Canis lupus familiaris: one gene and its partners. Each later gene encodes a partner of the first gene's protein in a complex. Links are inferred from orthologs where the notes say so. Each region holds a gene or a part of one and is shown on either strand. Other genes may lie near its edges. The genes, in order: EXOSC3, EXOSC7, EXOSC6, EXOSC4, EXOSC8, EXOSC1 and EXOSC2.

Region 1 (4,462 bases):
CCCACGGCCACTTCTGCACCCAGAAACGGCAGCACGCCCCTCTGGAAACGCCAGCTTCGTCACCGGGACTCCATCGGACCCCAACGCGGGACCCGCACGTCGCAGAAGTCGGTGGCTGCGGCTGGGAGCCGGGCTCTGCACACCCGCTGGAGGCCTCGGCTCCCCACCCACCCGCACGCTGGCGCACCTCCTCCATCCCCAGCCCGCACCGTGCGCTTTCACTCACCCGCGGCCGCAGGGCACCAAAGCCGCGAAGCACAGATGCACGGAAAGGGCCGCACGCGGCTGGCGGGGTGGGGGTGGGGGAGGGGGAGAGACACCAAAGGCGACCTTCCCGCGCGCCCCGCCCCTGGACCCGCCCCGGGGGGCGTGTCAGGAGGAACCCACGCCCCCAGAGCCACAGCCGGCCACTTCCGACCCCAGCTGCGGATTTTTAGGAGACTGCCCACCCCTGGAGCTTGGGGTTTCGTCTCTTTTTTGGGGGGGGGGGGTTTCGTCTCTTGACTAGAGAACCAGTCAGGAGGTACCCACGTGCCACCCCTATCGGGTGGTGGACTTTGAAGGCCTCTTTAGCCAGGTTTGGGCCAAGTATTTTTTCCAAAGACTTCTCGATCAGCATGGGGTGCGGGAGGGACCAATCCTGGGACCACTCCCAACCTCTCTGTCCAGCCCAGACCAGAGGCCATTGAGCTCCCTTTGGGCATGGCCTTGGGCCAGCCACCATCTAGGCGGCCTTGGTCATCGAATACCTACTGGTTGCAGGTCCTCTAGTGCTGGGTTGGAGTGGGAGGAGGGAAAAAAATCTGCACCATCCCTCCTGCCAGGATAAACCAATCAAGATAGGCTTCTACAACACTCTGACTGCAAAACAAGAAAAGTTACGTTTCAGTTGGCCTCTTAATACGCTTACGCAGTCAGCTTGCCAGCACTTTGCCAAATATGGAAGGTAAGTTAGAGGTGATCTGTCTTAAACGTCCCCCAAAACTAAAAATTCACGTTGGAAGCCAGTGCCTCAAAGGGAAAGGCAAAGCCAAACCCTCCCAGTCCCCCGGAGCTCTCAACCCTGCTGGGGAATTTGACCAACCGCAAAGTGGAAATCCTGGTGTACAGAGGAACCTGGATTTCAAGTAAGAGCAGTCCTGATATTCTATGGATTTGGAATCCAACTGCTCACCTGGTCAACTAGTGTGTCTCAAGGAATGTAGCTACAAGAATCTGATTGCAGTTACTGATTTCCCCAGGCCATGTAGGGGTAGGTGAATTATGTGAAAATTCACATGCGTATGTGTATATTTTCAGGGGGAAAAGGTCTGCGGAGAAATACACACTAAAATGCCAATATGCACTGATTCATCAGGTCCTATCTATTTAGGTGACAGAGACTGGGCGACACAGAATTATCTGGCGGCCTAGCAGGAGACAAATGGGGGCAAGACTAATACCTCTTATTTTCTTTCTAGTCTCTGTTTTCCACAGTGTGAATTGATATCTTCTCTAGCAACCATAAAAACAGGTTTTATTTAGAAAAAGGAAAATGCTTTTCCTTCAGAGGGCTGAGTCTTGGAAGGAAAGGATCAATCCCGAAGCCCCTCGGCTCGGTCGTCGAGGTTCCCACGGAACCACACTTGGGAGCGTCTTGTATCCAGCGGTGCAGCCCGAAACAGCGGAAGTGAGGTATTTGCCATCGACTTAAGCCGCGTGTTTCTCGTACTGATCCGCAGAAAGACCGCAAGAAAGGTGACGGGCGGGAGATATTACCGCAGCCACCTTGGCAGGACCCCCGCCCACAGCTCTCAGGTTTCAGGGACGCAGATGGTTCGGTTCCTATAGTCCGCTACTACCGGAAACGGAACGCCTCGGGCAGGCTGGCGATTGGACGCGGGGCCGGAAGCGGAAGCTGAAGGTTGCGTGTGGAGGTTCGCGGTATGGCTGAGGCGGTGGGTGCTGCGGCCGAGTCTCTGCCGGGAGACCGGGCGCGTGCGGCGCGCACCGTGCTGGATCAGGTGGTGCTCCCGGGTGAGGAGCTGCTGCTGCCGGAGCAGGAGGACGCTGAAGGCCCAGGGGGTCCTGGGGAGCGACCGCTGCGCCTGAATGCGGGGACGCGCTCCCGGGGGCGCGTCGTGTGCGGCCCGGGCCTGCGGCGCTGTGGCGACCGCCTGCTGGTCACCAAGTGCGGCCGCCTCCGTCACAAGGAGCCCGGCGGCGGCAGCGGCGGTGGCGTTTACTGGGTGGACTCACAGCAGAAACGGGTGAGTTGGGGGACTCCGGAGAGGTGGTACGGCCGTGAGGGGGATATTCTCGCTCTGCATGGGGCCCTGGACCTCTTCTCTGCGAATGCTGGTCCAGAGCCACCGTAATCTTGTGCGCACCGCTGCATTCCCCTCAGAGGGACTGTGAGCAAATGGAGCGTGGCCCGAGAAGGAGACAAAGGAGACTGGAAATCTTGGCGTCTAAGAGGATAGGGATTGTGAGACAGGGTCATTGCCTACAGAGTCTCAAAGGTCAGGGAGCACCAGAACCAGGCTCAATAAGAGGATGTAACAGGGAGTTAAATTTCTCTTAGAGTAGGTAAGAACTTTAATATGGGAAAGTTTGTCTAGCAATGAAATAGCCTTTCTTGGTTGTAAGGACCCCGTCCCCTGTACCATTGGACTTCATATGCCAGCAGAAGCTCTAGGAAGTTTTTTTGTTTTGTTTTTTAAGATTTTACTTATTTATTCATGAGAGGCAGAGACACAGGCAGATGAAGAAGCAGGCTCCATGCAGGGAGCCGGATGTGGGAGTCGATCCCAGGACTCCAGGATCAGGCCCTGGGCGGAAGGCCGGAGCCAAACCGCTGAGCCATCCAGGGATTCCTGCTCTAGGAAGTTCTGATAAGGAAATAAGAGGTGTGGGATACTGGCTCAAATGAACAGAGTATTAAAAGCTGTAAACCTGAGAGTTTATGGTGTGATTTTTTTTTTCTTTTACTGAGAGTAACATCACATTTGTTGTTGATTTGTATTAATTTGTAAACTTGAATTTCAAAATATTTTTTAAATAACTCTAATGACCACTAAGGACTTATTAAAGATATCTTCCAAGATACCTTGGAAATGATTGTCATCTATGACTGTTCTTTCATTCTGTTTTCTTCTGTAGTATGTCCCCGTGAAAGGAGACCATGTGATCGGCATAGTGACAGCTAAGTCTGGAGATATTTTCAAAGTTGATGTTGGAGGGAGTGAGCCAGCTTCTTTGTCTTACTTGGCATTTGAAGGTGCAACTAAAAGAAACAGACCAAATGTGCAGGTAATGATGGGAACTTTTGGTTTCAAAAAGAAGAAAAGCATACGAATATCCAGAAACACTCAAATAACCAAAAGGCTACCTAAATTGTCTCCTAAGCATGACCTATTTTCCTAGCTCTATGGGGTCATCTCTGAGCGTCTGTGTAATCACTTTGGGGTCCAAGAGTTCCTTCCAGTGCTCCAGCTCTAACCAGAGTCACATACTTATTTTACATTTGCTATATTGGGGGCTGTTTCATCTCTACTGAGTTGAAAGGTTATATTTGTTCTTTCTATTGTTTTTTGTTATGTCCATATCCACTGGACAAGGAAGTAAACCATAAGCTGGGGAAGAAGGAGGAGTAGATGGTGCAAATTGCCATATCAGCCATCTATCCATCCTGATTGACTGGCATCTCACAACTTCAGTCACATCACCATTTCCCAACAGCTTTGATTCTGTCTCTGATATTTTGCATGTTCATCCCTGTATGTCTCCATATTGCAAGTTCAGACCTTAGCTATTTTTTTTACCAGACTTGGTCAGTGACCTCCTCATTAACATCCCTGCCTCTACACTTGCCCTCTCAAAAGCCAACAGCCTCACACACTCTCCTTTCTCCAAAAGAGGAAAAAAAAAAAGTTTCTTTGAAGCCTATAGATTTCATTGGCATTATACTCCAGAGGTCCTTTCTTGTCTATAATTGTATCTATGCTTGAACTATCTCAAACTATTTATTTATTAACTAAAGATTTTATTTATTTATTCATGAGAGATACAGAGAGAGGCACAGAGCTAGGCAGAGGGAGAAGCAGGCTCCTTGTGGGGAACCTGCATCAGCAGGGCTCGATCCCAGGACCCTGGGATCACTACTGGAGCCAAAGGCAGATGCTCAACCACTGAGCCACCCAGGTCCCCCTATCTCAAACTATTTAATAGCACTACTGAATTCATAAGTCCCTGCTCTTGTACCTTTGCTTGTGCTGTTCCCTTTATCTGGATTGCTCTGTCCCCTTAGCTTATGGAACATCTCATCTTTTGAGAACCAGGCTAACCACCACCACCTCGGTAACACCATCCCTCATCAACAGTCACCTTTCTTATAACTTTAGCACCTAAAAAGTCTTAAATGAACTTTGTTATTTATATGTACATCCTCACTGCCCTCCACGACCAAATGCTTCTAAAATAC
Region 2 (4,024 bases), on another chromosome or scaffold:
TAAAGAGGAACAACAACAACAACAAAAAGCTATCTTACAGGGTTATTTTGAGAGTAAATGTGTCAACTGTGTAGCATTCCTAGCACAGTATCCCAAGTAAAGTAATTGCACGTTAGAGAGTAGCTGCTATTTGTTTTTGCAAATAATTGTGGCTGTTTTAACTTATAGATCTGTAGAATTAGAAAAGTACCTTTGAGGCCTTCTAATTCAATGTCCATCTTTCAACAAAGGAGGAAACTAGTCTGAGCATTTTGTCCTCGGTCAAGCAGCTAGGTATGGCAGGACCAGGCCTGGAGCCCATGACTAATACTCCTAGTGATTGCTCACGCATATACACCTGACCTGCGACTCAGGCAGGAAGGAGGTCTTTGTAAATGATATTTCTGGGCCCTGTTTTCACATTCCTCACAGGGCACTACTGGGGGATGGGGCATCAGAGATTGACCTAGGAAGAAGCCTTTCCTGTTCTATGGGTGAGTTGTTAAAGAGATAGTTACATAGTTTGGGGATCCTCCAGTGAAGAGAGATCACTTTATGGAGTTGGTCCTTGGAGTTCATTTCCTAGACTTGAAATTCTGTTGCTTTTTAAGTACAGATCTCCCCAGACTCAAGATGGGGACTGCCTCCAGGGAGGGGAAGGCCTGGGGATTGGATGAGCAGCAAAGGGACTTCAAGCTGACCTGTAATGTTTATTTTCTCTGCATTAACAGGAGTTGGGATGGGGAAGAGTAGGAACAGAGAAGGTTGGAGCTGGGCAAATGGTGTGCTTTGCTGGATTTCAGTATCTCAAAATCAAAAGTCAGTCATATATGCAGTGAGCCAGGCAGTTTAAAGATAAATTTGTGACACATAGCTTAGAACAGTGTTTTTAAACATTTTGAGGAGCATTAACCCCTTTGAGAATCTGATGAAGCTGAGTCTTTTTCTGAAAGAAAAAAATGCTTTGAAAAAATGTTTACAAAAAATGAGGAAGATCTCCATGAGCTGATGTGTAGTGATTTCCTGCATATGTATTCTTAAGTGTTTAAAAAAAAAAAAGCAGAAGTAGCAAAGTATAAAACAGTATCTCTAGTATGCTTCTCTTCATGTAAGAAAGAAGCGGGTATAAAAAATATTCACATATCTGCTCGATTATGCAAAGGAAGTACGGGAATGATGAACCAGCAATTAAACAGACTGCCTGGGGTGGCTGGGAAAGAGCTAGAAAGAAGGAGGGCATGTAAATAGGGCTGAGGGAAGAGTGGCCTTTCCCTGAGCACACCTTTTCTGATAACTTTGAGCAAAAGAGTCATGGCGATAAGTCCACGTACCCAAAAAGTAAATAAATGATTAAAAGTAGCCACACTGGAGCACTGAGAGCACTAGAACCTCACAGGGGTGCAGAGGAATAGAAGAGCCAAACTGAAGGTTGGGGAAGACACCAGGAAACAGGGTTCCAGATGGGACTGTAAGGCTAAAGACAAAAGAACTGGACCCAAGTACTGTCCTCCATTAGTAAATTTGTTTCTCAAGATTTCACAAATACATAAATACATTGTGGATAATGAGAGCCAGGTTTCTCCCTTTCTGAGAAAGAAGTTACAAATAGGAGGAGGAAGGTTAGAACCAACTTATCAGTGTGAACACATGGCCTTGTAATAGTTATGTGGATATAATAGGTGTGTAGATATAATTATTACGTGGATGGACATAGAAAGAATTACAGCTGTGTGGGTTAGTGTACATCAGTGTTACCTAGTTCCCTTTGCAGAGAAGTTCTGGAAGCAATGATATCCCAGTGGCAATGAACTTACTTAGCAATCAGATCCTGGATTTTAAAGCACTGTTCTTCAATGAAAGGAATCATGACTCCTCAGAAGAAGGGCTAATCCCAGGGCTGGGGCAGGGAAAAATTCAAGAGGCTGGAACATCTTGTCAGAAGTAAAGATGTTCTCAAAAAAGGTTGCAGGCATGTCAAAAGAATGTAGGAACCAACCCAAAGGAACTCCCAGTGGCCAGATCTGGAACACTTTGAGCAGCAGGATAAATAATGACAGTATTGGATTATAACTACAGCATAAAACAGAGATCTGTGAGTTATATTGGTATAAGTAACTAATGGAAGAAGTAAATAAAAGGGGACAAGGGATACGTAGTATCGTAGACCACTCTGAAATCTATCTTCTGCAGCAGGAGTCGACAAACTTTTCCGTGAAGGGCTAGATAAGATTTGGGGCTTTCAGGTTATAAGATCTGCTTCACAATCATTGAGTGTGAAAGCAGCTAGATTGCCTCAAGGAACAGGCGTGGCTGTGTTCCAGGAAAACATTTCAGAGAAGCAGGTGGCCCTCGGGCCTAAGTGTGCTGTCCCTATTCTAGAGAATGCCTGGCTTAGAAGATAATGGCTAGTTATTTTTGTCTGTCCGCAGAGTGGATTTTGTTGAGTTTAGGGGGCAGGAGGGCTACAGCTGAGACAGTTGTACCCGTAGCTCTGACAATACATACTTCCTGGTGCAATTTTGGCATGGCAGATTTGGAAAGAGGCAGCTTATTTTGTCTCTTGTTCAGATTTTGTCTGTTTTGTGTGCCTTTTCGGTATAGGGGGGATGTAGTACGGACTTTGCCACTTTGCCATGCCTGGGTGGAAGCCCACCTTTGGTCTGTGTCACCAGCTGTGGGACCTCAGATACACTGCTTTACATCTCTGAGTCTTCATTTCCTCCTGTGTAAAATAGTAATGTTGTTCCTAGCTACAAGGATAGAATTTTGGATGATTCACTGAGAACGGGATGCTGTAATGCCTAGTTCTCCTGGGAGAAATGGCATGAATGAGTTTAGTAATCTGTTGGTGGTTTGGTTGTGGTTGTATTACAGTTGTGGTTCTTGCACTTTAGGAAGACCTCCGTGTGGATGGCCGTGGCTGTGAGGACTACCGATGTGTTGAAGTAGAAACTGACGTGGTGTCTAACACCAGTGGGTCGGCCAGAGTCAAACTAGTAAGTACTGTGGCTATAGTTCATGCCCATGGGGAGGATCGGCAGGCCCTAGAGAGCCAGCTGCAGACTCCTCTGGGCTTTGGGAGGCATATTTTTCTAGGGAATCCAAGACCCAAGCCAAACTCTGGGAGGGTGTCTGTCTAGGTCTGAAGGACCCTTTACCTTTTCAAAGGGCCACTTCCCAAGTTCCTATGCGCTGCTCCTAAAATGGTCCCCCAGGGGCATAGTCTGTGAGAGAAGGGAGGTGGTTGGGTATCTAGCTACCTGCCCTGAGTGAGGACCCTTCTTATGTGTCTCTGCAGGGTCACACAGACATCTTGGTGGGAGTGAAAGCAGAAATGGGGACGCCAAAGCTGGAGAAACCAAATGAAGGCTACTTGGAGTTCTTTGTTGACTGGTCAGTACTATGTATATATGTATGTTTGTTTTTTAAGTAGGCTCCACACTGGGTGTGGAGCTCAACATGAGGTTTGAACTCATGACCCTGAGATCAAGACCTGAGCTGAGACCAGAGTTGGACACTTTTTTTTTTCCATTTGCAACTATTTACTTCTGAAACACATTATGATAGTCACCATTAATTAATTGCCTACCACATAGCAGGCAATGTGATGAATGTTTTACATACATTATCTTTAATAAGAGTTGGACACTTAACTGACTGAGCCACCCCGGTGCCCCTATGCATATGCTTTTAAAGAAAAATGATTTATTTTATTTTTTAAAAAGATTTTTTTTTGTTATTTGAGAGAGGGAGAGAACACAAACATGAGCCAGGGGTGGGGAGGGAGAGAGAATCCTCAAGCAGACTCCCCACTGAATGTGGAGCCTGTTACAGAGCCTGAGCTCTGTGGGGAGTCTGCTTGATTTTACCTCATGCAGCTCTGAGATCATGACCTGAGCCGAAATCAAGAGTCAGATGTGTAACCAGCTGAGCCACCAAGGTGCTTCTAAAGAAAAACAATTTGAAAGAAGATTGAGAGACTGGACCTCTTGTTTCCTGTTGAGCCCATTTTTATTTTGTATTCAGTCATCATTCCTGCAGCCAG
Region 3 (3,542 bases), on another chromosome or scaffold:
TGTGGGCTGCCTGCAGGAGGCACTGCAGCTGGCTACCTCCTTTGCCCAGCTCCACCTGGGAGATGTGAAGAACTGAAGGGTAGGGGCAGCTTCTACTGGGAAGCATCCTTCACTTACCCAATGCATCCGTCCAGCCAGCTCTCCACCTGCCATGAGGACATTTGGATCTTGGGACCTTTAAACAGCCCTGTCTGTCCTAACCCAGCAGTAACTGGAACTCACGCACCTGGGAGCTAGCCTGTGACTCATTGCTCACGTTACATTTCTGCCCTGAGCCCTCCCTACATACCAGCACCATGTCTAAAACCACTACCCCAGGATTGCTATTTATCATGACAATGCTCGTGTCTGTAGATAAGAGTTCTTTTAGGCCTCTCTGCTGCAGAGAATAAAAGGACTATGTGCAATACTCAATGATGCTATGTGATCTCTTAACCCCCCACCTCTCATAGGAGCCCCCTGTGTAATAGCCTATGGCCCCAACTGGCTTCTGGTTGTGGTCCTCATCGAGTCCAGCTCAACTCCTGAACTTTGGGAATGGCCTCTGGATTACCTGAAGACATTGGTGAAGGTGGCCCATAGGATGGGGAGTTGAGTGGGTGAGATGGAGAGAGTCATTAGTCATTCAATAGAAGATGGGCCATGGGGTTACTGGAAGCACTTTATAGGAGAAGCTCTCCCATTCTTAGGCCTGTGTCCCTCTTCCTCTCCTTTTTGATGTTGAGCAGTCAGGTGTGAGATCAGAGGTGTTCTTAGGGTGCATTAGGTGACTACCCCTTTCCCTTTGACCCATCATTGCTGGTTCCCTGACCCAAAGATGGATAGGATCGATCGGGACCTGCCCTGGTCCCGAATCCCTTCACTCAAGTCTGAAGACAGCTGGGTTTGGAAACTGTTCGCTGGGGAGGTTAAAGGTTCTGCTTGTTTGTGCTAGCTCTGGCTGATTTCGTGTTCCCTGGGTACAACAGTTGGCAGTGGGGCCCAGGTTAACTAGTCCCGCTGACAAGGAAGGAGGCGAGCAGCAGCAGAGGCTACCTGCTCTGGTCACCAGCCTGGGGGTGAGGGCCCGTCCTCGCCGGGAGTGAGAAGCAGCAGGGGGACATGGTTCAGCAAGACGTGCCAGGTGAGGACTCCTAGGGGTACGGAGTGTACACAATCCAGTGCAGGAGAGAGAATGTTCCATTCAACAAGCGTTACTCCTGCCAGGGCACTGAGGAATGACCATGTCTTGGGCAAGACGGGAACACGTAGGAGATGGTCACACGTGTAAGTGCAAAATAATTTCAACCTTTACAAGTGAAAGGACGCAGATGTGCGCCCTGGGGTTGCGCTGGCCCGAGAGGCTAGCGTTCAGGCAGGCCGGCCCGGTCCCCCCGTCGGCCCACCCCCTCGGCCAGGGACCTCCCGGCGGCCCCGCGGCGGCCCCGCGGCTCGGCTGTGGTTCCTCCGGGACGGCAGGGGGCGGGGCGGCGCCGGCCGCCGCTATCCCGACAGCCCTCGCGCGGGCGCGCGGCTTTAAGCGGGCGGAAGCGCCGGCGCCGGGGCCGAGGGGACGGGCGGAAGCGGCTCGCACGCCAGGCGCCGCCATGCCCGGGGACCACCGCCGAATCCGCGGGCCCGAGGAGTCGCAGCCGCCGCAGCTGTACGCGGCCGACGAGGACGAGGCGCCCGCGGCCCGCGACCCGACGCGGCTGCGGCCCGTGTACGCGCGCGCCGGGCTCCTGAGCCAAGCCAAGGGCTCGGCCTACCTGGAGGCGGGCGGCACCAAGGTGCTGTGCGCCGTGTCCGGCCCGCGCCAGGCTGAGGGCAGCGAGCGCGGCGGCGGCCCGGCCGGAGCGGGCGGCGAGGCCCCGGCCGCGCTGCGCGGCCGCCTGCTCTGCGACTTCCGCCGCGCGCCCTTCGCCGGCCGCCGGCGCCGCGCGCCCCCGGGCGGCGGGGAGGAGCGCGAGCTGGCGCTGGCCCTGCAGGAGGCGCTCGAGCCGGCGGTGCGCCTGGGCCGCTACCCGCGCGCGCAGCTCGAGGTGTCGGCGCTGCTGCTCGAGGACGGCGGCTCGGCGCTGGCCGCCGCGCTCACGGCCGCCGCGCTCGCCCTGGCCGACGCGGGGGTCGAGATGTACGACCTGGTGGTGGGCTGCGGCCTGAGCCGCACGCCGGAACCCGCGCCCACCTGGCTGCTGGACCCCACGCGCCTCGAGGAGGAGCGCGCCGCCGCCGGCCTCACCGTGGCGCTCATGCCGGTGCTCAACCAGGTGGCCGGGCTGCTGGGCAGCGGGGAGGGCGGCCCGCCCGAGAGCTGGGCCGAGGCGGTGCGTCTGGGCCTGGAGGGCTGCCAGCGCCTCTACCCCGTGCTGCAGCAGTGCCTGGTGCGGGCGGCCCGTCGGAGGGGCGCCGCCGCGCCGTCCTGAGCCGGGAGCCCGAGCGACCACGGACGCCGAGGACCGAGCTGCCCCCGTCCCCCGAAGGACCCTTGCCGTCCGCTGCCAGACTGCGCGGCGCGGAGAACTCCGGGCGGGAGAGGATCCGACGGGGCGTGCACAGCGCCGGACGGCTGTGTTGGGACGGCTCTTGAGAGACTTCTGTTAAAGAAACGTTTCTACTTGAGCAGGTGCTTCCCAGCTACGACCCAGGTGAAGAAACTTGCGAATGCAGCTTGCCTCCCAGGTTGGGAAGGACTTCAGCTGGACTCATCTGGAGGACGGGACTTGGAACTGTTGTAAGGGATGGACCCTGTGCAGGCCAGCTAGTGACTCCCTTCTATAGACTTGGGCTGCTTTTGAGAGAATGGACAAGGGGGCTGTGCCTTCTCATTTACATCTGAGCTAAAACAAACTCCTTTATATCTGGAAAAGTCTATCGTGGTTCATCTCGGTAGTGAATTTAAAAGAACAAGGTTCTTTTGTGCCCTGTAGTCGACTCCTGGTGTCAAGGGGTTGGGGACAGCATTGTCTTAAATGTGTCCTGTTCCTTAGACCAACATAAGCAGAAAAGACTGGCTGAAACTAAAGGAGGTGCAGGAGTTGGTGTGGGGAAATGTGCTTTGAAGGAGGTGAAGGTGCCCCTAGAGTAGCAGAGTTGGCCATTGCCAAGGTGACAACAGTAGGGAAGGTTGTGTGGGCCCAGGAGCACTCTGGGTGTACTCTGTGGCCTCTGGTTTGGTGCTGGGCAAGACCACAGCTCAGGTTTGGGTAGGTGGAAGGGGTTTGGCTCTGGGTGGAAGCTAGAGGCCTCCCCCACTGCTGCTAAGAAGTAGGGGTCCAGGCTGCCTTTTTTTTTTTTTTTTTTTTAATTTAGAGGCATGCAAGGGGGTTGACAGTGGGGAAGAAGAGAGAAAATTCCACACAGACTCCATGTTGAGCGCAGAGCCTGATGCTGGGCTTGATCTCATGATCCTGAGATCATGACCTGAGCCAAAATCAGAATCTGATGCCTAACCGACTGAGCCCAGGTGCTGCACCAGGTTGGCTTTATTATTTGGTGCCCCTGGTCCAGTCTTGCCTCCTGGGAAAGGGCAGATGAACTTCCAGGAGTAAGAGCTGCTGGTT
Region 4 (4,245 bases), on another chromosome or scaffold:
TTGTTGTTTTTTTTAATTTTTATTTATTTATGATAGTCACACACAGAGAGAGAGAGAGAGATAGGCAGAGACACAGGTAGAGGGAGAAGCAGGCTCCATGCACCGGGAGCCCAACGTGGGATTCGATCCCGGGTTTCCAGGATCGCGCCCTGGGCCAAAGGCAGGCGCTAAACCACTGCGCCACCCAGGGATCCCTTCATTCACCCGTTTTTTTTTTTTTTTTTAATTTTATTTATTTATTTACGATAGTCACAGAGAGAGAGAGAGAGAGGCAGAGACACAGGCAGAGAGAGAAGCAGGCTCCATGCACTGGGAGCCCGACGTGGGATTCGATCCCGGGTCTCCAGGATCGCGCCCTGAGCCAAAGGCAGGCGCCAAACCGCTGCGCCACCCAGGGATCCCGATTCACCCGTTTTATTGCACAGTGGGAGCTGGCGGGAAAGGGGGGGCACACAGCCTGTGCACATCCCCAGGCCCCGGGCGGCACCTCCCCGACGCTCAGCCCTTTGGCTCCGCTTCCCACATTCGCCCTTGAAGCCCGGGCTCAGCAGAGCGGCCAAATAAGGCAGCTGGTGCGGGGCATGAGCATCCTGTCCGGGCGGACCGGGACGGGGAAGGGGATGGAGACTGGGATGGGGACGGGGACAGGACGTAGACGGGGTGGGGGGGGACGGGGACGGGGACGGGTCGGGGGGAGGGGAGCGACAGGGACGGGGACGGAGGGGCGGGGGACGTGGACCGGAACGAGGACGGGGACCGAGTGGGGGTAGGGGGACGACGGGGACCGGGACGAGGACGGGGACGGGGACGGGGAGGCGGGCGGGGGGGGGGGTTTGGTCGGGGGCGGTTCCACGGCGCTGGGCCGCCAGGAGGTGTCGGAACACGAGTCAGGACGGGGTAGGACGCCCGCGACGGCCACTCCTCGGAATCCCGCGGGGTTCTAGCCCGGCCCCGCGCGCCCTCGCCCCCGCACCCGGGCAGCAGCGGGGGAGCATCTGGGCGCGTCCACTCCGCGGGCGCCGAGCGGCCAACCGGAAACTAGTGGGCGTTCCCCAGGGTTATTGGGGCAGATTTCTCAAGGTCTTTTTTGAGTGAAAACCATTAAAGTGTATAAAATGCTCTCATTAAAATAACCGGAGTTCCCAATGCCACGCGGCTGTACAACCGCGTGTGCTCCCGATCCGTCTGCGGTTAGCGTGAGCGGAGAAGAGCAGACGGGAGCACTAGAGGGTGCGGGGGGAGGGATGGGGGGCGCGCGGGGCGCTGAGTAGGGCGTCAGGGGGCGCGGGCAGCGCAGGCGGGGGAGGGGCAGGGGGCGGGGCGGGACGCAGGCCGGAGCCCGCCCCCCCCCCCCCCCCCGAGACCCGGCGCAGGCGCGTGCGGCGTGACCCCGGGAGGCCCGGGGGCGTCAGAACCGCCCTGCGACAAGCCCGAGGGGGCGCGGCCGGCGAGTCTCCCCGCATCCGGTCTCCGCCTCTGGCAGCCGTGGGACAGCTCCCCAAACGGCCGCGGGCGCCGCCTGCCCCCGGGGAAACCGTAGTTCCCCGGGCCGGAAGTGGGTGTCGGACCGCCGGAAGCCGTAGGCCCCCAGAAAGCCGGAAGTGGGGTCGGAGCCGTCGGGAAGTGTAGTTTCGCGGGAGTCGCAAGCGCGGCCAGCCGCCGGAGACATGGCGGGCCTGGAGCTCCTGTCGGACCAGGGCTACCGGGTGGACGGACGGCGCGCCGGGGAGCTGCGCAAGATCCAGGCGCGGATGGGCGTGTTCGCGCAGGCCGACGGCTCGGCCTACATCGAGCAAGGCAACACCAAGGCGCTGGCGGTGGTCTACGGGCCGCACGAGGCGAGTGGGCGCGCGCGGGCGGGGCGGGCGGGGCTTGGGTTCCCCGGCGCTGGGGGTACCTGACCTCGTCCTCCCGGGGACGCCTTCCCGACCGCCTTCCTCTCCTGGGGAGCCCCTCCCCTGCCTTTCCGAAGCCCGTGGGCTCCGCGTTCGACTTCTCGGGAGCGGAGCGTCAACTCCATGAGCGGAGGGACTGTAGCTAAACCCACCTGCTGCTACTGCCTGGCGTCCACGCCGGAGCGGGGAGGATGGCTGGGGCACGTAGCGGGGCGCGTTCGCAGCGGCGGAGATGGGGAGCAACTCGGAACGAGGTTTGGGGGGCTCTAGGGAGGCAGGAACCCGCCGCGCTGTAGGCCAGGGACACGACTTAGGATTTCACGGGTGATGGGGAAGCTTTAGGAGGCGTCAGGACATTGACGCAGCGAAAGTGTATAGGAGATGACATCAACCGGGATATTTTTTTTTAAGCTTTTATTTATTTACTCATGATAGAGAGAAGCAGAAACACAGGCAGAGGGAGAAGCAGGCTCCCTGCAGGACCTCGGGGTCACACCCTGAGCCAAAGGCAGACACGCTCAACTGCTGAGCCACCCTGGCATCCCGAGCCTGGATATTTGTGAACACACCTGCTCTGGCCACGGATGGAGAATGGGTTAGCAGGGGACGAGGCAGGGATGGAAACAAGGAGGCCTGTTAAGAGAAGTAATATCAGACATGATGACTTGGAGACTGGCCAACTGGCCCTCCGATGGAGGTCCTCCTGCTTGCTTATGGAGATGCCGGAAGTAGAGGGAGGGTGACGGGAAGGCGTAGTGTCAGCTGTGGAGGGGTGAGCCTGACTCATGTGTCCTTCCTCCCCCAGATCCGGGGCTCCCGGGCTCGAGCCCTGCCAGACAGGGCCCTGGTGAACTGTCAGTATAGCTCTGCGACCTTCAGCACAGGCGAACGCAAGCGACGACCGCATGGGGACCGAAAGTCTTGCGAGATGGGCCTGCACCTACGTCAGACATTTGAGGCAGCCATCCTAACACAGCTGCACCCACGTTCCCAGATAGATATATATGTGCAGGTGAGCAAGCAGCAGCCATCAACCCAGGAAGGGAGGGGGAAGGAAGGGGAAGCAAGGATGGGAGTCGGGGGACAAGAGCCTAATGGACCGATGCCACTGGGCGGTACTTGCAGGTGCTGCAGGCAGATGGTGGGACCTACGCAGCTTGTGTGAATGCAGCCACGCTGGCAGTGCTGGATGCGGGAATACCCATGCGGGACTTTGTGTGTGCCTGCTCAGCTGGCTTTGTGGACAACACAGCCCTGGCGGACCTCAGCCATGTGGAAGAGGCAGCTGGTGGCCCCCAGCTGGCCCTGGCCTTGCTGCCGGCCTCAGGCCAGATTGCACTGCTTGAAATGGATGCTCGGCTACATGAGGACCACCTGGAACAGGTGCTAGAGGCGGCTGCCCGGGCTGCCCGTGATGTGCACACTGTGCTGGACCGTGTGGTTCGGCAGCATGTACGCGAGGCCTCTATTTTGCTGGGGGACTGAGCATCTGGCCCCCCATGCCCAGAATAAAACTCACATACAATCTGCTATACTTTAATTTCCCCACAGCACTTGCACACCCTCAGATCCTGGCCTGGTGCTTGCTCTGGGAGGTGACTAGGAACCGTCCCCATCCCCCGCACATGACATACCTTTTCCAGCTTCAAGACCCAAACCCTGAAGAGGAAGGTCGGGGAGCCTGTCTGCGGATGAACAGCCATCGTGCTAGGAAAGGTTCAGGCAGCTGAGCAGTGAGGCAGGGCCTGGCATAACGAGCCAAGCTGTGAGACGAAGGCAGTTCTCAGACCAGCACATCCACAGCCCACATCCTCTGGACTATGGCTTGGACTGCATGGCCCCCTCCACCCTGGGAGCCCTTTGGGCCTCCCTAGCCTTAGGCTCGGAAAGCACAACAAATGTTCTCCCCTGGGGTGGTGCGGAGGGGTGGGGAGTCTTCACACATATCTGCGGCGCTGCCTGAGCCCTCACCCGGGCACCTCCTGATCTGAATAGGATTCCCCACTTTCTAGTCCACATACCCCAGGTCTTGAGACCCGTTCTGGCCGAGAGTAGCCTGTGCACCTTCCTCCCTGTGGTCATCTGACCCCGGTTCCCTCGGCGCTGGGCTCCCGCTGAGCTCCCTTGTGCGCTCACTGCCGGTCTGACCTCCGTAGAAATGAGCCTGCCGGCGCCCCTGTGTCCGTGCTTCCCGGTCCTCCGCCGGCCCCAGCCTTCCAGTCTCTGATCCTGTACGTGGGAGCTTCCTAGCCGCGGTCCACAGGCAGCCCGGCGGCCCCGGCCCCGCGCCCCGCCTCCAGCCCCGCCCCCTGCTCCGGGCATGCGCGGCGGCGTGAGGGCCTTCGGGACC
Region 5 (4,571 bases), on another chromosome or scaffold:
TTAGTGTGATGCATATTAACATGAATATAAATAAGTATGCAAACCACATAAAATAAAAAGGCCAACAACTAAAAGGAGGAGAGTGGTGGGACAGGAGGAGAGGGCAAACACCGACTCTTGCTCCCCCCTTGACTGCCTACCCACACCGAATCTGTGGAGTAGCCAGGTGCTTGTGGTGCTGAGCACTTATGAGAGAGGATACAAATATGTATGAGAAAAAAAAGCCCATGAGGTTAGAATGTGCAATTCTAATCTGGCCACACTATTTCTAACTTATGATATTGGATGAGTTAGAGTTTTAGCCTGTTTTCTCATTTAAAAACCCCCGCCAGACCAAAAAAAAAAAAAAAAAAAAAAAAAAACGGACCAGCCACAAAGCTCATTTTGTTTCCTTAAACTCTCCAAGAAGATTCCAGCAGCAGCTGATGATACAAAACAAGGACACATACTATTTTTCTTCTATTTATGCAGGGAAAGTAGAGAAAATAAATGAGCGGAACTCCTCTGAATAATAAAGAAAAACAATTTCACTCTAAGTCTTTTTCAAATAAATGTTTTAAAAAGTCACTAAAGTAAAAACAGCATCGTGTTGCCACACAGTCTGCAGACATACTTAATTTTAAATATATCATCAGGCAAGAGCATACAAAGTGGTTGGGAGGGTACATAAGAAATTTCTGCTTTCCGTTTGTTCTGGGTTCACCCACCTGCGTGCGTCTGGAGGTAGCGTGTCATGTGCTGGGCTTGCATGCTAACCCGTGATGGAAGGGGACAAGCTGAGCACAGGAGGCCCTGGTGACCTCGACGGCTTGGGCATGGCTGGCACTGCCTCTCTCAACAGATCTAGCCTGGGATCTCTAAATTGGTGATTTAGTCTAGTTTTAACTAGGGACATCATATTGAAAGAGAAATATGGTACCTGTCTCTTTTCCAGATAGCCCAAAGCTTCATCCATCATTACAGGCACTTAAAGAAAAAAAAATACATCTCTGAAAAATTGTTTTCGAAAATGATTTGCCAAGCCCCCACTCAGTTTACATATGGAAAAAGTCTGAATAGTCTAACAGAGCCCTCTCGGACCTCTTCCAGTGGCCCTTCCCAACTAGAAGGCCTGTTTTCTGTCCACAACTAGCTTAATGTCTCTCTAGAACACTTCAGTCCTATGACTTCATGATGCTGACCGTATTCTTTATAGCTGGCATTTGTTTCCACTCTCATGAACTACAACTACCAACTATGCACTCATCAGAGCCCACATCTACTAATGTTCTCACAAAGATAGTAAAGTTCATACTTTAAATTTCCTTTTCTTCCCAATGGCCCCATATCCCAAAAATGAAATTGGGCTTACACCGTTTTTCTTCATTGTATGAAGGCACAACAACGGAGAGCTGTTTGGTAGGCGAGTCCCATACGCTGGGCAAAGTTTCCTTCTGTCCTTTGGCATTTAAGAAGAACTTCTCCTCTTCATGTTGATGGAGATGTGGCATTTTTGTAGCAGTTATAAATGCAACAAAGGAAATCTAAAAGTAGGTATGTTAACAAGAAACTATATTATGTAAGATTACATCATTTATGTGATTTTTATTGTTGTTGTTAAATGTTCACTCTCAGTTTTTAGTCCATTAAGAATGGTCTGGAGGTGACACCAAATTCAAATCCCTTACTTATGAACTAATAATTGTCCTTCTTCCATTGGTAGGAACTAATGCCTTAGGAGCTGTGTCTTCCCACCTGTCATCCCTAGGCCTCTGTCATCCCAGATTTAATAGGGAATAGTCACCAGAGAAGTGCAATCCATTTTAAGATGCCCTGAATCTCCAACCCCTGGCTAATGATGACAACATTCATTTAGCATTGTTTTAAAGATCGCACAACATAAAACATTGAATACAATACCCCCAAATTATAAGTCCTCTATAAATGTTAGCTTTTTAAAAAATTATTTTATTTTCATTTATTCATGAGACAAAGAGAAAGGCAGAGAGACATAAGCAGAGGGAGAAGCTGCCTCCCTGCGGGAAGCCCAATGTGGGACTCGATCCCAGGACCCCGAGATCACGACCTGAGCCCAAGACAGATGCTCAACTGCTGAACCACCCAGGTGCCCTAAATAGTAGCTCTTATAATCACAAGCTGGTAGGATCAAATACTTCCAGTTCATCCTCAAAATGCACCCATTTAATTCTATAAAACAGATAGATCAAATAAACAGAGTCAATTTAGGATTCTGTCAAAACTCTGCCCCCACCAAAAACCTGAGAAAACCTTGAAATCTCCATCTACCCCTAACGGAGAGAGAGGACTCCTTTCTGACCCCGACACAAATCACCGAAGAAGTCAGGACACGTTGCTTTTTCTCTATAAGTTATTTCTAAACTGTGAAGTGTGCAAACCCGGCAAGGCGGAAGAACGGCCTTCCCAGCAGTGCTGTCAGGGGGGCTAATCTGGGTGTCAAGGAAGCTGGAACCTCTCCACGTACTAACTGGATGGCAGGCTCGTTCCAAATTATAAGGGAGAAAGCTCACTTGGCAAACCATTACTAATGAATCAGCAAGTGCTTACAATGTTTGTTTCCAGAGTGATGGCAAAGAAAATCCGAGTCTCAATTCTACTGTGCCCTCCTTTAGAGGCAGCGAATTTAGGGTGTTTAATCCCGGGTCATAGGGACTGCCAGACAACGGTAACAGCAGGCCTGCGTGCCTCGGCCTTACTGTGTCCCTCCTGGGTCTTCTTGATCCACTGATTCACCCCAATCTCTAGCAGATGGCTCTCGTCAAAGCTGTCACCACCTTCTAGTTGCTTCCCCGCATCAGGAGGGTCAGTCCAGGGAGCGCAAACCTCCTGGGGGGGCTCGAGACCTTCCCGGGTGCAGCCGGAACTGCACAGGCTGCAGATGCAGGAGGAAGGGGTGGAGAGGTCGGGACTGACAGGGCAGAGGTCGGGGGCGGCGGGGCCGGTGGAGGCTGACGGGGGCGCACGTCCCCCGGGGAACCAACGTTACAAGGGCCTGGCCGCAGAGGGAGGTAACGCTCCAAAATAAAGACAAAGAAGGGAAGAAAGGGGCTGTGAAGTTCTAGGAGAGGAAATCCTGGTCAAGTTTCGGGGGAGAGCGTGGGGGGAAAGGGACGCGTCGAAGCGTGCGGGGCAGAGGACAGGCTGCGTGGCGGCCGAGTCTCTGAGAGGACGGAGCCCAGGCCCGCGTCGGTCCCCAGCCCTCTGCTCACCAGCGTCAGGGCGGCGGCCGCCAGCGCCACGCCGAGCACAGCCAGCTGCAGCAGGAGCGCAATCATCGTCCATACCCGGCTGCCGCGCGCCCTCCCCAGCGCCTACACACACGCGGAAGCGCCGCCGCGCAGCTCCGCCTCCCGCCGGCAGAGCGGCCGAGCCCGCCCGCCGCCCGCCGCCCACAGCGCCCCTCGCGGCCAGGCGGCGCACACGCCGTCCCTGGCGGCCAGGCTCGCGCGCAGAGGCGGGCGCCGGGTTCCCCGCAGGGCTGACAGAACCCGCAGGCACACACAGGATTCCACCCAGTCGGAATTTCAGGTAGGCAGTGAGCGGCTTTTCGACAGCCGTCTTAAGACAGCACTCACGCACCGTGCAATCCACCCATTAAAAAGGTTTTATTGTATTCCATGAGTCTTTAAAAACGGAGACAGCATAAAATTTGCCATTTTAACCATTTTAAGGGTACGATACGGTGGTATTGGTTACATTCACAATTTCCTGCACCCATTATCTATTTCTAAAACATTCTTCGCTCCCAGCCGCCCCCGCCCCCCGCCCCGTAACAACTAATAACATGTACTATTTGGGGTATACTCATAGTGGGGAAAAATTAGCTTGTGTATCTGACATTAAAAATTAATTGGATGTTCTGTATTCCGTCTGGCAAACCTACCTAGGAGGGAGGTGACGGCTTTGAGAACAAACGCAGCCCACGGCACAAGCTGCTCCTCAGGAGCCCCTCCGGGGGCCCGCAGAGTGTACCGCGGGGCGATCACCAGCGCGCACAGAGTTTACGTGATTGCTCAGCAACTGGAGCTCCAGGGAGCCCTTCCCTTGGGGTGAGGCACGCCCAGGGCCCAGCCTGAGACAGAGGCGGGAAAGGACGCAGGAGCTCTGGAATAATGCCCCACACTTAATACTCACTCAATTCCTGGCAATAAGGTCGGCTTTCCCTTAAACTCCTGAGCTAGCATACCGTTTTTCTAAAGAGACACACCCGTCTCTTTCCCAATAGCAGATTCGACAAAACGCGTCCGAGGCCAAGAAGCCTAGAGGCGCGCTGGGCTCCTCCGAGCGGAGGCGGAACGAGAACCCCCTCGCGGCCACCAGCCCTCGGCCTCTGCAGCAGCGGACGAAGGGCGCAGGCGCGTCTGTCGAAAGTTTGGAGGCGGGGTAGGCGCGCGGCCCGGGGGCGCGGCCTCGCCTGGCGCAGGCGCACGCGCGCGGGCGGGAAGATGGCGGCCGGGTTCAAGTGAGTGTGGGCGGCCGGCGGGCGCGTGTTTGTACTCTGGCGGTTGGAGGCTCCCTTTAACCCTTCGCTGGGATTTTTTTTCACCTGGAGG
Region 6 (4,024 bases), on another chromosome or scaffold:
ATTTCCTCCATCTCACTAGCTACATTCCAAGTGCTCACGTATAGTTGACAGCTGCCTTGTTGGCCAGCACAGAACATTTTAATCATCACAGTGTTACTGGACTGTGCCGGCCTAGAAAGTTCTGGGATAGTGATCAAGGCAGCCAAGTTCAAGCATGCGTAGCTCTTTCACTGAGCTGATTCCCTGAGTATGCAGTTTGGGAAACAGGTGCCAAAGGGTAATAATAATAAGGAAGCCTATTTTTAACATTTAGAAGCTATTTTAGTCTGGAGAGAAGCAAAAGACCTTATAAAGACCTATTAAATTTCATCTTTTAGGGCACCTGGGTGGTCCAGTCAGTTAAATGTCTGCCTTCGGCTCAGGTGGTGATCCTAGGATCCAGCCCTGCATCAGGCTCCCTGCTCAGCAGGGAGTCTGCTTTTCTGTCTCCCTCTGCCCCTTCTCTCCACTCATGCTGTGTCTCTTTCTTTCTCTCAAATAAATAAATAAAATCTTTTTTATTTATTTTTATTTTTATTTTTTTTAAATTTTTATTTATTTATGATAGTCACAGAGAGAGAGAGAGGCAGAGAGAGAAGCAGGCTCCATGCACCGGGAGCCCGACGTGGGATTCGATCCCGGGTCTCCAGGATTGCGCCCTGGGCCAAAGGCAGGCGCTTAACCGCTGCACCACCCAGGGATCCCAATAAAATCTTTTTTAAAAATAAATTTCATCATTTGGGGTGTTTCAGGGGAAATACAAATTAATGCTATACTGATCAGTAACTACAAGACATCCTTACTCTCTGCCCACCCCCATGTTAAGTTAAATCAACTTGAGTTCTTAGTTGCTGTTTATAAATTGTTCCAGCAGAAAATCAATGTGTTATTCTTAAAATAACTGAAGAGGCAGTGATCCAAATATTACACAGTAACTGAAATGTACACTTAAATTCTGTCCACTGGGGATCCCTGGGTGGTGCAGCGGTTTGGTGCCTGCCTTTGGCCCAGGGCGCGATCCTGGAGACCCCAGGATCAAATCCCACGTCGGGCTCCCGGTGCATGGAGCCTGCTTCTCCCTCTGCCTGTGTCTCTGCCTCTCTCTCTCTCTCTCTCTCTGTGTGTGACTGTCATAAATAAATAAAAAATTAAAAAAAAAAGAAATATAAACATTTAAAAAAATTTTTCTGTGCACTGTACCGGGCTCTTGGTAAGATCAGTTAAAGGTCTAGATTTACGGTAATGCCCTGTTTTTATTTGTTAGGCTTCTGTATTTTTCAAGATATATTCCATATTATTTCATTGGATGCCCACAGTAACTTTATTAGGTGGCTGGAGAGACTCTCATTCCATTTGACATATATCATTTATGCAGAATTAAGTAGGAGTTAACTTGTCTTAAATTCTATAATTAGTAGGATTGCTTGGACTAAAACACTGGTAATTCCTTTCTTGCTGCCTCCTTGAACTGACAACTGCTACTACTCTAATGCTGATCTTTTTTCTGTTCCACAGGTCTCTAGCATCAATTCACGCTTTGCCAAAGTGCACATCCTATATGTGGGGTCCACACCACTTAAGAACTCTTTTCGAGGAACTATCCGGTAAGAAGTATTCATGTTTTTGCATTTGCATCAGCACCTGGAATGAGATTAGAATAGAACAGGGATTGAAATTTTTAGGAACAATTACAGTTCCTATATCTACCTGCCTCTCTCTCCTCTTTGTTCTTTGATTCTGTCCAGGTAGTGTCCAAAGGAAATGTTATAATGTATGAGCTAGGACAAAAGGAAAATATTGACAAGATTGGGCTTTAAAATAAAATGAAAAGAATTGAGCTAAGCTGGAAACTAGTGTTGCAGGAAGTTCATATGGAACAAATTAGGGGCACCTGGGTAGCTCAGTGGTTGAGTGTCTGCCTTTGGCTCGGGTCGTGATCCCGGGGTCCTGGGATTGAGTCCTGCACCGGGCTCCCTGCAGGGAGTCTGCTGCTCCCTCTGCCAATGTCTCTGCCTCTTTCTGTATCTCTCATGAATAAATAAAATCTTTAAAAAAAAAAAAAGTTAAAGGCATCTTAAGAAATATCTTCCTTTTTTGTATTTAATATAGTTTAAATCTAAGGATTGAAAGACTTTATTTTTTTTTTTTAATTTTATTTATTTATGATGGGGGGCGGAGAGAGAGAGAGAGAGAGAGGCAGAGACATAGGCAGAGAGAGAAGCAGGCTCCATGCACCGGGAGCCCGACGTGGGACTCGATCCCGGGTCTCCAGGATCGCGCCCTGGGCCAAAGGCAGGCGCCAAACCGCTGCGCCACCCAGGGATCCCGAAAGACTTTATTTTTATTTTTTTTTATTTTTTTAATTTTTATTTATTTATGATAGTCACACAGAGAGAGAGAGAGGCAGAGACATAGGCAGAGGGAGAAGCAGGCTCCATGCACCGGGAGCCTGACGTGGGATTCGATCCCGGGTCTCCAGGATCGCGCCCTGGGCCAAAGGCAGGCACCAAACCGCTGCGCCACCCAGGGATCCCCCGAAAGACTTTAAAAAGGTAAAAAGGTTAGTGGGTGGGCAGCCCCGGTGGCGCAGCGGTTTAGCGCCGCCTGCAGCCCAGGGCGTGATCCTGGAGACCCTGGATCAAGTCCCACGTCAGGCTCTCTGCATGGAGCCTGCTTCTCCCTCTGACTGAGTCTCTGCCTCTCTCTCTCTCTGTCTCTATGAATGAATAAATAAATAAAATCTTAAAAAAAAAAAAAAAAAAAGGTTAGTGGGTGAGGGGCACCTGTCTGGCTCAGTCAGTAAAGCATGTAAGTCTTGATCTCGGTGTTTTGAGTTCAGGCCCCATGTTGGGCATAGAGATTACTTAAAAATAGAATCTTAGAGGTGCCTGAGTGGCTCAGTTGGTTGAGCGACCGACTTGTGATCTCAACTCAGATCGTGATCTCATAAGCTGTCGTCAGATCAAGCCTCGTGTCTGGCTCTGCAGTCAGTGAGGGGTCTGCTTGAGATTCTCTCCCTCTGTAAAATAGGGTGCACGCTCCCCCCCCCCACTCATGGCATATGCACTCTTTCTCTCTCTCTGTAAAATAAATAAATCTTAAAAAAATAAAATATATTTTTAAAAAGGTGAGTGGAATGGTAGGGTTTTGTTTGTTTTTTCCTGTAGGTTTTTAAAGTAGAGACCAACAATTCTTGTGAGCTAGATATAGCTTCTAAGGCTCTTTCCACCCTTAGGATTCCATGTTGGTTCTGTAGTGCTTCTGTACAAGCTTTCCTAAGGCAGCAAAGTTCCTTATTCTTTCCTGCCAAATCTGATCTGCTTTTCTCTAGTCAAAGGTATTGATACTGCTGCTCTGTGTGACCCAAGAATGGGAATGTGGTTTTCTCCTCCAGGGGAGGACTTGGAATGCTTCTCCACCCCACTTCTGGGTGGCCTTTGGGTCCCAATTATGATTTGTTCTCTCTATTCTTGTAGCTCTCTGTCTGCTATGATTCTGCAGGATAATTCTCACAGATAATTAATCTTTTGTTAATTCTTTTTTATAGCAAGGAAGATGTCCGAGCTACTGAAAAAGACAAGGTTGTTGGTTGGTTCTTTTTTTTTTTTCCCCTTATGACTTTAGGAATCTCGATCCTTTTAAATTACTCCAGGGAATTTCAAACATCTGTGGGAATGTGGATCCAAAGGTCCAAGGAATTTTAAGGTGTTTCCTACTGGAAAGTGTGGAATTCACCTCACTGTCCTTTTCCTTTCCTTAGGATTTTTTGTTTGCTCTATTGAGCAGAAGGGGACTACTTTATTCCTTGCCTTTGAAGCCAGGTGTCTATTCTTTGCTATTCCCTCAGATTTACTTTGTATTCTTTCAGAGCCAACTGTAGTAACTTTTATCTAAGATCCGTTACCAGGTTATTGAATTAAAAATTTTTCATTTAAAAAAATAAAAAATAAAAATCTTTCATTTATATGATGTAAAAGCAATAAAAGTTGTTGATTGGCTTCACTAACGATGACTTCCACCCTGTGGAGTTAAAAAGTACACTGGT
Region 7 (4,489 bases), on another chromosome or scaffold:
GACACTGAATCAGCCACTCTATAGTAGACAGTATTCATAATCCCAATGCTGTGACAGGCCCCCTAAATGTGGGTGCTGTGAGGATGGGAGGGGCTGAGGTTATGTCCATCTCTCTTGGGATGAAAGTGGATGATGTCAAGAGTACCCTACTCTTAGTCTAGGGACACTCCCAGGCCTAGCTCCCTAGCGGGCTGGGTTACCTTGGCTCACAGGACACTACTGCCCTCTTATGGCGGAGGCCAGACTCAACAGATGGATCTTCTCACCCTTCTGTAGCTCTCTTCCTCCAGGCAAGCGTCTGGTATGTGCATGCCCCATGGGGCTCCAGAATTTATATCGTTTACTGCCTTGCAGGATTGACAGGCATAGTTGGGAGCTTTGCTTAGAAAGAAATGTTGGGGTAGCCCAGGTAGCTCAGCGGTTTGGTGCCGCCTTCAGCCCAGGGCGTGATCCTGGAGACCTGGGATCGAGTCCCACATCAGGCTCCCTGAATGGAGCCTGCTTCTCCCTCTGCCTCTGTCTCTGCCTCTCTCTCTCTTTCTCTGTATCTGTCATGAATAAAGAAATAAAATCTTTAAAAAAATAAAGAAATGTTCTCTATTTGGAGACTAATCAAGCAACTGGTCTGATGGATCTTCAGGAGGCAGTGGACCTGATTTACTGAGCATAGTGTGTGTGGCTGATGCAAGTTATTTAATCCTCTTAAGGGTCTTTGTGCATAAAGAATCATCAGCTCCAATTCCCTGAGGTCGAAACGCAGTTTGTTGTGGATGCTATGAACCATGTAGGACAAGGAGAAGGGATAGGGTAGTGGGAGGCAGGGAGAAGGGAGGAGGCAAATGCTCCTATTGAACAGGACACGGAGATAAAGCCACGTATTCACCCTATAAAATACACCCGCCTTGCAAGCTTTGTATATTTTCTTGGGCGGGTTTCTTTTTAAGTCAGAGTAAATCAGCTCATTCAAAAGAAGTTATTAAGAACAGAACCAGCATCTGGAGTACTGTTTGGGGGTAGAGGTGGATGGTTGGTGCTGAAGGAGCACCCACGAGGAGGCAGTAATGCAGTATATTGGGGCTACGAGGAACAGTATGAAAAGGACCTCTTTTTTTTTTTTTTTTCCCAATGAGTGTTTTCTGTAGATGCCATCCCCAGTCTCCCGAGCTCTCTCATACCGAAGAATCACATTTTAGCAACTTAGAGTTGGAAGGTAACTCACAGGCCCATTTCTCAATTACCTCTAACCCTGGTAAACAATGAATAGGATGATGATTACGGAGAGATTTTTGGTGAAAAAAAATCGAACGCTCCGAAACCTGATATTTCATGGATCTGTAGGTGGAGCCTTGCCAATAGTAAAAATGGCAACTTGGCTCCCTCATTCCCTTCGTGTTAACCTAATGGTTGCCAAGAGTAAACATGGCCACCGAACTGTGCGTTCCCATTGGCGGCCGCTCTGAGACCCGTGCGACGGCCGGGAATTGCGGAGCCGGATGTCGCGATTCCAGGCCGAACTGCGCCTGCGCCATTCTTTGGCGCCAAGATGGCGATGGAGATGAGGCTTCCCGTTGCTCGCAAGCCTCTTAGCGAGAGCGTGGGCCGCGATACCAAGAAACATCTGGTGGTTCCGGGGGACACGATCACCACGGACACGGGATTCATGCGGTACGTGAGGACTTGGGGACTCGCGGCCCCAAAGGGCAGCTGCTGGGCTCTCTGCACGTGGCCTCTGTTCCCTTACATCTGAGCACCCGCCGGACGCAGGGCACAGTTGAGCATTCCCGCCCCCATGTTTGCAAGGCCTCGGGCTTCTTACTCTGCGCACCTTGTGTGTCTCCGTCTCCGTTTGCCTCAGTCCTTGGTAACCCTTCTGTCCCGACCACTGGTGTCAGGGACTCCTGGGTTCTCTGCTTGAGGCCCCGATCGCCTTCTTCGTGGGAAATCTGCAGAACTGGGGAAGGTTAGGAGCAGGGGCCTCTTTCCAGTGTTAGGAAGAGGGACCAGTGGGCATTCCTGACCCGGCCTCTTCTCTCGGCATCTGTTAGCCAGGTGCTCGGTTTTGAAAGCAGTAATTGTTTGGGCGTAGGGCATACACAATATATTGTGCTACATGCACCCAAATCTACACGTTGAACCTGAAGGCAGTACAATATGTGTAGTTGAGAGTGCAGGCTCTTGAGCCAGACAATTGGGGTTCCAGCCCTGTACCGTCACATATTTATAAGCTAAGTTGTATTTCCTCTCCGAGGTCAGTTTCCTCATAATGTATTATCACTGTGATAATAACAGTGACTATTTGATAAGAAAGTGAGGATTACATGAGGAAATAATTTAAGAAAAGAAGCGTCTCAGTCGGTTAAGTGTCTGACTCTTGATTTTGGCTCAGGTGTGATCTCAGCGTCCTGAGATGGAGCCTCTGCGCCCCCTCCCCGTCCCCCCCCCCCCCACGCTTGAGATTCTCTCTCCATCTCTGCCCCTCCTTTTTCTTTCTCTTAAAAACAAAGAAGCAAAAAAAAAAAAAAAAACAAAGAAGCAGAACTCACCATTATAGGTAAACACTAGTGGTATTTCAGCCTTTGGGTGGGGGGAGGGGTGTTACAGCATTTACAACATTGCTCTTGAACCTTTTAGTTTGAGGTTATTGGATCCTAAGGAATCTTAAGTGTCCTTCATTCATGAATGAAGTATATGTTTGTCTTATGTGCAGTTGGAGCAGGACTGTGACCAAAGTAGAACTCTCTCATGTTATTTATATTTCGAAACAGATAAACAGTAAGCAGGACAAACAAGTTAGTATGTTTGGTGATAAATTCAGTGGGGAAAATGGAAAGTTGAGCAGGGTAGGTGGAATGTGGTTGGAAATATTGTGGAGGTGGTGGCAGTGGGGTGGGTAACTATTGTAAATGACTTAAAAAAGTCAGATAGGCCAGATAGAGAAAGTGACATTTCAGTAGACTTGAGTAGGACAAGGGAGATGTCTGTGCAGCTCTTTAAAGAAGGAGTGTTCTGGGCAGAGAGACAAACCGGGCTTTAAAGGCAGGAGGAGCCTGTTAAGAACATATTGTTCTTGGGGACGCCTGGGTGGCTCAGCAGTTGAGCATCTGCCTTTGGCTTAGGTCATGGTCCCGGGTCCTGGGATCGAGTGCCACATTGGGCTCCCCATGGGGAGCCTGCTCCTCCCTCTGCCTGTGTCTCTGCCTCTCATTGTCTCTCATGAATAAATAAATAAAATCTTAAAAAAAAAAAAAAAGAATATATTATTCTTGGGGGGAGAGGTCAACTCTTACCATCGTATATTTTGTATCCTACTCTCAAAACAGGGGCCATGGAACTTACATGGGGGAAGAGAAGCTCATTGCATCTGTGGCTGGCTCAGTGGAGAGGGTAAACAAGTTGATATGTGTGAAAGCTTTGAAAACCAGGTGAGAACAAAAGGTGTGTATTCTCTTTCTTGCGCCATTCAGGTTACCAGCCAGGTCTTTTCTGCCACAAAATACCCCTTACCCCCACCTGCTTTATCATTTAGCAGGTCTGTGATTTTGAACATGACTATATAGAAAGGGTATAGGTGACTGTAGTTAAGTGTGGGCTTCCAAGGATCCCCACATTACTTGACCTCTCCAAACCTTGGTTACCTCCTCTGCAAATTGAGGGTAATAGCATGATCTACCTTGTAGGATTTTCACTAGAATTCATTGAAATAAGACATGTAAAGTACTTAGCTCAGGGCCTACTACCTAGAAGGGCTCAATAAAGGTTAGCTCCAGAAAGGAAACCGGTGGTTTTGGAACCTTGTGAGCAAGGGTGGGGGAATGCAGGAGAAGATGCAGGTAGAGAGCCGAGGTGGGCAGACAGCCTGCCTTGTAGCACAGATAGGCATTTTCTTTCTTTTTTTTTTTTTTTCCACAGATAGGCATTTTGACTTCCACTTTATGTAGTCTGGGATGCCACTGGGAGGGTGGAACAGAAGAGGGACATGGTCTGAATTTCTGTCTTAATAAATTCACTCTGGCTGCTAGGAGAGATTGAGGGGGAACACATGCTTAGAGAGACGATTAATGGACTGTTTTTATCATCTGAAGTGATGGTGGCTTGGACTAAGGTAGCAGTAGAAGTGGGTAGTAATGGCGGATTCTGCATACATTTTGTGTTCTGAGTTTTTTTGTTTTGCCCCCCCCCCCCTTTTTTTTTTAAATCATGTAAGTGTGTTGGGTTTAGTATTCTTTGGGATTTTCCATATATTGGACCATGTGTGTGAATAGACATAGTTTTACTTCTTCCTTTCCCAGTTTGGATGCCTTTTATTTCTGTGTATATTTCAAAGGTGGAGCCAGTGGGATTAGCTGCTAGATGTGTCCTGGAACATGAGAGAGAGAGAGATGGAAAGGGAGAGAAATCAAGTATCCCTCCAAAGACTCCCAAGATTTTTGGCTTGAGCAACTTGAGGAATGGTGTTGCCGTTTATTGAGGCTTCACTGGCTGGGCAGGG

The links.
Region 2: EXOSC3 (region 1) and EXOSC7 share a complex: the UniProt entries of both Homo sapiens proteins name them as parts of the RNA exosome core complex. The link is inferred for Canis lupus familiaris from reciprocal best matches to the Homo sapiens genes EXOSC3 and EXOSC7.
Region 3: EXOSC3 (region 1) and EXOSC6 share a complex: the UniProt entries of both Homo sapiens proteins name them as parts of the RNA exosome core complex. The link is inferred for Canis lupus familiaris from reciprocal best matches to the Homo sapiens genes EXOSC3 and EXOSC6.
Region 4: EXOSC3 (region 1) and EXOSC4 share a complex: the UniProt entries of both Homo sapiens proteins name them as parts of the RNA exosome core complex. The link is inferred for Canis lupus familiaris from reciprocal best matches to the Homo sapiens genes EXOSC3 and EXOSC4.
Region 5: EXOSC3 (region 1) and EXOSC8 share a complex: the UniProt entries of both Homo sapiens proteins name them as parts of the RNA exosome core complex. The link is inferred for Canis lupus familiaris from reciprocal best matches to the Homo sapiens genes EXOSC3 and EXOSC8.
Region 6: EXOSC3 (region 1) and EXOSC1 share a complex: the UniProt entries of both Homo sapiens proteins name them as parts of the RNA exosome core complex. The link is inferred for Canis lupus familiaris from reciprocal best matches to the Homo sapiens genes EXOSC3 and EXOSC1.
Region 7: EXOSC3 (region 1) and EXOSC2 share a complex: the UniProt entries of both Homo sapiens proteins name them as parts of the RNA exosome core complex. The link is inferred for Canis lupus familiaris from reciprocal best matches to the Homo sapiens genes EXOSC3 and EXOSC2.

The regions. Positions count from the first base shown.
Region 1 is NC_049232.1:54,409,293-54,413,754, reverse strand, and holds the start of EXOSC3 (exosome complex component RRP40), read left to right. Parts: upstream 1-1,523; 5' UTR 1,524-1,925; coding exon 1,926-2,249; intron 2,250-3,141; coding exon 3,142-3,291; intron 3,292-4,462. UniProt on the Homo sapiens protein: Non-catalytic component of the RNA exosome complex which has 3'->5' exoribonuclease activity and participates in a multitude of cellular RNA processing and degradation events.
Region 2 is NC_049241.1:43,777,037-43,781,060, reverse strand, and holds part of EXOSC7 (exosome complex component RRP42), read left to right. Parts: intron 1-2,873; coding exon 2,874-2,975; intron 2,976-3,277; coding exon 3,278-3,372; intron 3,373-4,024. UniProt on the Homo sapiens protein: Non-catalytic component of the RNA exosome complex which has 3'->5' exoribonuclease activity and participates in a multitude of cellular RNA processing and degradation events.
Region 3 is NC_049226.1:76,859,403-76,862,944, reverse strand, and holds EXOSC6 (exosome complex component MTR3), read left to right. Parts: upstream 1-1,586; coding exon 1,587-2,405; 3' UTR 2,406-2,899; downstream 2,900-3,542. Other genes in the region: AARS1 (alanine--tRNA ligase, cytoplasmic), read left to right, coding at 1-76. UniProt on the Homo sapiens protein: Non-catalytic component of the RNA exosome complex which has 3'->5' exoribonuclease activity and participates in a multitude of cellular RNA processing and degradation events.
Region 4 is NC_049234.1:38,326,021-38,330,265, forward strand, and holds EXOSC4 (exosome complex component RRP41), read left to right. Parts: upstream 1-1,444; 5' UTR 1,445-1,667; coding exon 1,668-1,838; intron 1,839-1,898; exon of another isoform or gene 1,899-2,086; coding exon of another isoform or gene 2,087-2,149; exon of another isoform or gene 2,150-2,528; intron 2,529-2,700; coding exon 2,701-2,907; intron 2,908-3,020; coding exon 3,021-3,380; 3' UTR 3,381-3,422; downstream 3,423-4,245. UniProt on the Homo sapiens protein: Non-catalytic component of the RNA exosome complex which has 3'->5' exoribonuclease activity and participates in a multitude of cellular RNA processing and degradation events.
Region 5 is NC_049246.1:3,769,594-3,774,164, reverse strand, and holds the start of EXOSC8 (exosome complex component RRP43), read left to right. Parts: upstream 1-1,507; coding exon 1,508-1,533; intron 1,534-2,565; exon of another isoform or gene 2,566-3,089; intron 3,090-3,227; coding exon of another isoform or gene 3,228-3,300; exon of another isoform or gene 3,301-3,368; intron 3,369-3,901; exon of another isoform or gene 3,902-4,355; intron 4,356-4,420; exon of another isoform or gene 4,421-4,463; coding exon of another isoform or gene 4,464-4,480; intron 4,481-4,571. Other genes in the region: ALG5 (dolichyl-phosphate beta-glucosyltransferase), read right to left, coding at 920-966, 1,352-1,523, 3,228-3,293. UniProt on the Homo sapiens protein: Non-catalytic component of the RNA exosome complex which has 3'->5' exoribonuclease activity and participates in a multitude of cellular RNA processing and degradation events.
Region 6 is NC_049249.1:10,916,379-10,920,402, reverse strand, and holds part of EXOSC1 (exosome complex component CSL4), read left to right. Parts: intron 1-1,494; coding exon 1,495-1,583; intron 1,584-3,526; coding exon 3,527-3,560; coding exon of another isoform or gene 3,561-3,567; intron 3,568-4,024. UniProt on the Homo sapiens protein: Non-catalytic component of the RNA exosome complex which has 3'->5' exoribonuclease activity and participates in a multitude of cellular RNA processing and degradation events.
Region 7 is NC_049230.1:53,364,420-53,368,908, reverse strand, and holds the start of EXOSC2 (exosome complex component RRP4), read left to right. Parts: upstream 1-1,507; 5' UTR 1,508-1,543; coding exon 1,544-1,665; intron 1,666-3,320; coding exon 3,321-3,422; intron 3,423-4,489. UniProt on the Homo sapiens protein: Non-catalytic component of the RNA exosome complex which has 3'->5' exoribonuclease activity and participates in a multitude of cellular RNA processing and degradation events.